2 linked regions of the Danio rerio genome follow. The protein of the gene in region 1 purifies or fractionates together with the protein of each later gene. This does not show direct contact. Links are inferred from orthologs where the notes say so. Each region holds a gene or a part of one and is shown on either strand. Other genes may lie near its edges.

What was found.
Region 2: the proteins of ret (region 1) and stat3 purify together in Homo sapiens (affinity purification with western blotting; 3 studies listed by BioGRID and IntAct, with this or other methods). This does not show direct contact. The link is inferred for Danio rerio from reciprocal best matches to the Homo sapiens genes RET and STAT3.

Annotation. Positions count from the first base shown.
Region 1 is NC_133188.1:28,812,727-28,816,566, reverse strand, and holds part of ret (proto-oncogene tyrosine-protein kinase receptor Ret precursor), read left to right. Parts: intron 1-581; coding exon 582-864; intron 865-3,840. UniProt on the Homo sapiens protein: Receptor tyrosine-protein kinase involved in numerous cellular mechanisms including cell proliferation, neuronal navigation, cell migration, and cell differentiation in response to glia cell line-derived growth family factors (GDNF, NRTN, ARTN, PSPN and GDF15).
Region 2 is NC_133178.1:15,780,343-15,782,836, reverse strand, and holds the end of stat3 (signal transducer and activator of transcription 3), read right to left. Parts: intron 1,336-2,494; coding exon 1,229-1,335; 3' UTR 789-1,228; downstream 1-788. UniProt on the Homo sapiens protein: Signal transducer and transcription activator that mediates cellular responses to interleukins, KITLG/SCF, LEP and other growth factors. Once activated, recruits coactivators, such as NCOA1 or MED1, to the promoter region of the target gene.

The sequences.
Region 1 (3,840 bases):
ATTTAAAGTTGTCCAAATTAAATTCCTAGCAAGGCATTTTACCAAACTAAAAATGTGTTTTGATATATTTACCCTAGGAAATTTACAAAATATCTTCACAGAACATGTTTGCTTTATTGAAATTCTATTTTAAGCTGCTTGGACATAATTTACAATGTAAAAGCGCTGTATAAATAAACTTGAAGTAAATTAAATTGAATTATTATGCAGTTTTGACTTAACATCCTAATGAAAAACAATAACTTTCATTATTTTGATTTTAAAAAAATATACATGTGCAACATAATACTGGTTTTGTGGTAAAGGGTCATATATAGTGTTTATTAATTAAGTTTATTAGTAGTAGAAACTTACTAGTTTTTCTTAATACTTAACTAACATACAGTTTTAACAGAAATATTTTATTTAAATTTATTAGTAAATGTTGAAACTAATGCAATTAATTAATGTTTAATATAATATATGCTATGTAAAATAATTTTCATTATTAGTGTGAACAAATTTTAGGTCGAAATTGCAATTTATTTGGTCAGTTACTCCAGACAGTTCGCATTAATGTGTCTCTTGTGTTTTTTTTTTAGATTGGAAAAGTCTGTGTGGAGAACTGTCAGAAGTTTAAGGGCATTGATGTGACCTATCAGTTAGAGATTGTCGACAGGAACATCACTGCTGAAGCTCAGTCCTGTTACTGGGCGGTTAGTCTTGCACAAAACCCGAATGATAATACAGGCGTTCTCTATGTGAACGACACCAAAGTGTTACGCAGACCAGAGTGCCAAGAGCTGGAGTATGTGGTCATTGCCCAGGAGCAGCAGAACAAGCTTCAGGCCAAGACACAGCTCACCGTCAGTTTTCAAGGCGAAGGTAAGCTTAAACGTTTGCAAGACTAAAGTGGAGATAAAAATTTGAGAACAAGCTAAGCAGTGATGAAAAGATCACTGAAAAGTCCTATTCAAGTAAAAGTAAAATTACTTGCCCAAAAATCTTGTGCAGGTAGAGTAATAAGAAATAAATGACATTGATGAAAGTTTGGTCACTGCAGGCTTTCAGTCAAAATTCTCTTAAAGACATGGGTGTAAAGTAATAATTAGTGTAATTGAGTATTTTTTTTCTGAGGAATTGTGCGTTACTAAGTGGTGAGCACTTAACTTTTACAGTACACTTCTGCAGATCCTCACTTGTCTTTTGATTGGTTTAAATAAACTGGATTTTCATGTGTAGATTGAGCAGCAATCCTAACAAGTCTTGAGCTTGATTTGTGGAGCTTAGTATCTGTTCTAAATACTAGGTACAAATGAAAAGTAACCATTCTTAGAGTAGTTAAGAGTAGTGAGTATTACAAAAATTGTAGATCTGTTAATGTTATTCACTTTGAAGGTTCACCAAGGTTATGCATTTTGACTGGTTATGCATTAAGCTAAGAGTGTCCAGCAGTTGACTCCTCAAACCAAGCTCAAGACTGGTTAGGATTGCTGCTCATGGAGATATTGTTTATTTAAACCAATCAAAAGACAAGTGAGGATCTGCAGAAGTGTTTTCAGATTAGTGTGCCATATGCATTAGACATTTAGCCACAGGTCTGTGGGCGGTCCTTGGTGTGACATGATTTGATTGGATGGGAATCCTGGAACTGATTATTCTACTTAGCCAATAACCGTGGACAAGAAAAAATAAACATAAAGTAGTGACTGCAGGGTAAAATAGCACAGTAAAAGTACCGATATAGAACTAAAAATGTACTCCAGTAAAAGTAAAGTGCACACCACTTAGTAAAGTTCAATTCCTCAAAAAAAAAATACTCAATTACAGTAATTAGAGTATTTGTAATTTATTACTTTACACCGCTGTGTTTAAGAGAATTTTGACTAAAACCCTGCAGCGACCAAACTTTCATCAATGTCACTTATTTCTTCACAGTCTTAAAGAAGGCAACAACTTACTCCCAGGTGCTTTACGGATGATTTTAATCATTTGAACTTGAGCAAACAGGAGTGAAGAAGTGCTACTGTAAATATTAATATCTAGATTATTATCAGCACAATTAAAATGATAAATATTTCTTTCTCAACTAGCTAAAATATAGGTATACATTGCATTTATTTTAATTCAATTAACAAAAGGAATATTTCTATCTTTAGTTACCTAACAAAAGAAACATTTGCTTATGTTAAATGATACCAGTCACACTTTACAATAAGGACCCTTTATTTAATGTATTACAAGTGTCACTAATAATATGTACACACTAAAACATAAATGGGAGAATTATCTGAGATTTAAACAGTTTGAAAGTCGATTAAATATGCTTTAATATAGGAAATGTTAGTTTAAGACAATATCTGGCCAATTTTGATAAGCTGGAATCTGAGTAAAAGTACTGATATAGAACTAAAGAATCTCTAAGAATTTAGACTGAAAGCCTGCAATGAACAAAATTTCATCAGCAGAAAGCAGCAGAAAGTTAAAACTGTAAAAAAAATGAATACTTATTAAATAACTAATTACAAGAGGTGTTCATTCCGCTGTGGCGACTCCTGATGAATAAAGGGAATAGGGTGAAGGAAAATTAATGAATGTTTGTTTTCAAAACCGTGAAAAGACTGAACCCAAAGTGTGTCCACAAGTCAATGAAAGGTGAGAAGTATAAGTGTCATGAATTGTGTTTTTTTTTTTTGACCAATTCAACCTTCAGAAACGTTATCTGTAATCTTTCATCATGCAACAATCATTTCTGTTCCCTAATCATGACCACAGTGTTTTCTACAAAATAAAGAGTTTTTAGTTGAAACTTCTTGTTTTTTTTTGTTTAACAGTTTTACTACACTGTAAAAAAATGTTACTTTACTTTAAAAAGGTGAATAAACCCAATAACTTAAAAGCAACAAGTTGATTTTACTTTAAAAAAGTCAGTAAACTCATTGACTTGACTTAACTTCTATAAGTACACTATAAAAACTTATTAGTTACTTAAAGCAAGTAAACCAATTGCCTTAAAAGCAACAAGTTGACTACACAAAAAACAATATAAGTAAATCAATTGTAACTTGGAACTGTTGAGTTGACTTAATTTTTAGAATTATGTAAATTGTACTCACTTAAAAATAATAATAATAAAAGTAAACTTATTACTTTTTTTCAATACAGCTTTATTATATTAGTCTTTTCTAGCTTTTCTGTATCTAGCAAAATGACATACAGTAAAATATATCTGCTCTTCCAGACTCCAGTGTGTCGTCTAAATTCCATACAGGCTATAATTGTATATTTTATAAACTTAATGAAGCAGCAAATATATAATATTTTAATTATTACAGTATTATTAGAAAACAGATGAGCTAAAATAGTCTGACACTGTACAAAGGGATTAGTTGATTTTAAGAAGGGAGTATAATTAGCATAATTATTCAAATGAAGTCCACATAACAGTTCCAAGTTACAATTGGTTTGCTTACATTACTTTTGTAAAGTCAACTTGTTGCTTTTAAGGCAATTGGTTTACTCGCTTTTAGTAACTAATCACTTTTTACAGTGTATGCACATAGGTTGTTTACCTAATAATTATGATGCAATGAGTTTACTGTTTTTTTAAGTAGAGTCAACTAATCACTTCTTACAATGTAACACAGTATAGCCACAACTAAAATTCCTTCAAATATTGAATGCTAAAGATTACATTATTTCTGAAAAAAGCATGTGTTTATAATTAGAAATTCGTCACCTTAAAATTTTAAGGTTCTATCTGACATTTTTGTCAAAATTGAGTTTTGATTGACATATTCTTATGACAATTTATTTACATTTTAATTTTGGGATGTTTTTTACATTTTAAGAAACAAATCT
Region 2 (2,494 bases), on another chromosome or scaffold:
CTTGGTATTTTTGACTAATGGAGCTGTATTTCAGCTTTATCAGTGTCTGTCTCTATCACTGATGTCTGTTTAGCTGACGTACTGCATGATGAGAAGCTGTTACGACTAAAGTATTTGTTTATTTTTTGTTGCGCATTGCATGTGTCTTGCATGTGTTCCGCATTTTCTGTTGTTTTCTGTTATTCCATAGAATCCCATTCTAATGTGATCCAAGCTCTGATTGACTGCTGGTCGCAGAGGCCTATTAAAAGGAACTTACGGAAGGGTTCGGGGAGCTCATTTGTGGTGCAAGGGTTGCTGGGAGTGGAGAGCTTCTGGATTTTCCCTACCTCTCCGGCAGACGACCAACCTTTAGTCTTGTACAACTGTTCATGCTTGCAACGTTTTGAGAGTTTGAGCTTGTAGAGGTGGCCTGCCTATTTATTTGATTACTTTTGACTGTTTATATTTAAGGAGGAAGGTAAGCTTCTTGTATTTTTCTTTAAATATACATAAGTAATTTAGTTCATTTACTTTGTCTTTTGTTTGTTATTTTGGCCTATTTTTCTATAATAAATCTATCAACCACTCTCATCTGAATGTCCGAGGGGGATCTTTTGCATCAAGTTTTTTGTTTTGTTTGGGAAATCCACCACCCACAACACTTTTTCCCCCGTTTATTAAGCCCATGTTGTTTTCCCCTAGTCTTGGGGTGTAATAGAAGCAGACACGCATGTGGAAACGGTGGGTGGGGAGAAGTAGATTATTTGCATTTAAAGACATGCTACAGAAACAGCTACACTGTATTCAGACACCGAAATGTGCAGATTCTGGTTACTATAATAAATAATCTGATGAGTATTTTGAGCTGAAACTTTACAGACACATTCTAGAGACACCAAAAGATTATTACATCCTGTAAAAGGGGTAAAATAGGTGCCCTTTAAGATTTTGTAGATATTTGGACTAGAAACAAGACAAAAACTTTAAACAAGAAAAGCATTTTTTACAGTGTAACCATTATTATTTTTTTTTTTTTAATTTTAAAGTCAACTTCAGTATTGTCGAGGTTGAAATGAAAACTTTAGCTTGTTTGCACTTTTGACTGACTGTAAAATCAAAAAAAGAAATGCAAAATTTGGCTCGGAGAGAGAAAGCAGTTGTAGCACCTAAGCTCACTATATACATGAAAATTGCTTTTCCCAATGGAAAAAAAAAAAAAAAAAAATGAAACTAAAATCTTGGAAAACTAAGCATTTCGGCAGGTGTCCATATCCGAGACTGTGGAGGCTGCAAACCCTTCTCTCATGGGTGACGCATGATCAGAGCTCAACTCCATGTCCAGAGTGAGGGATTCTGGGGAAACATGGCAACACACAGTATTATAAGAAGGTGGGTTGGCTGTAATAAGTTACTTTCATTAAATTACTTATCCTCAAAAAAAAAAAGTAAGGGATTTTTTTTGTTTTTTGTTTTTCAGCCAATGATAAACTTCCTGTGAAAGGTTAATTTATTTATATATTATTTATTTCTTGCCACATCAGCAACTTATGGCTATTTCGTGGCAAAATGGATGTACATAAAATATTAAATGATAAAAACAAATTCATATTACAAAAAAAAAGTTACATAGACAAATATATAAAATATTAATAGATAAAATGGCACACATTTCTTTTTCAAAGTTAAATATGATATTTCAGTTCAATTTTTGATAAATAATTTAAAACTCTTCCGGGTGGTACCTTTTTAAAGATGTCCATCAAAATACCCTCCTTATAAAAATTTTGTCAAATGGATTTTAAACTTCTACATTCCAACAAAATCTGTTTTATGGTAAGAGCAGCCTGGCAGTACATTACATTTAGGTGATTCTTCGTTATTCAGCAAACCTAAAATGTCCGATTCGACATCTGGTATAGACCGTTTGATCATGTCTGGTCTCAAAACTATAATTTGCTAAATGCCTTTTGTTTATTTACGGGTTAATTTCATGTAATTTATTTTTTATGCAGTTGTCCCATTCTCTTTGCCATATTTCGTTTATGTACAAATTGATTGTGGGTTACAAACAAGGGTAAAAGGTTAATGTGACTATTTTCAATTTCATATGGCTTCTTTTACATCATCCATGTTGTAATGTAGTTAAAGTACATTCAGTTGAATAGACTTATTCATTTATTTAGTTGTTCAAGGGAAATCGAAATTAAAGACCAAGTAACCACTAGCAGTCAGGATCAGCAGGCGAGCGCAGAAACTCTGACAGTAGAAACACTGGGGTAAAATAAACGGCCACATTTTTAAGATGTGATGGCGGGAAATGGAATTTGACGCAGTTCTTCTTGGCCGGTGTGAGATCCACTTTATATCCTATATCTATCAGGCAGTGAATATCATTAATTTTTTAAAGAAATCAGACCTTAACATGGCAATTTTATAAATGGAAAGATTGCTGAGGCTGGCTGACTAAAATTAAAAGTCCATGTGCATATAACCCATTACAGTTACACAGAAA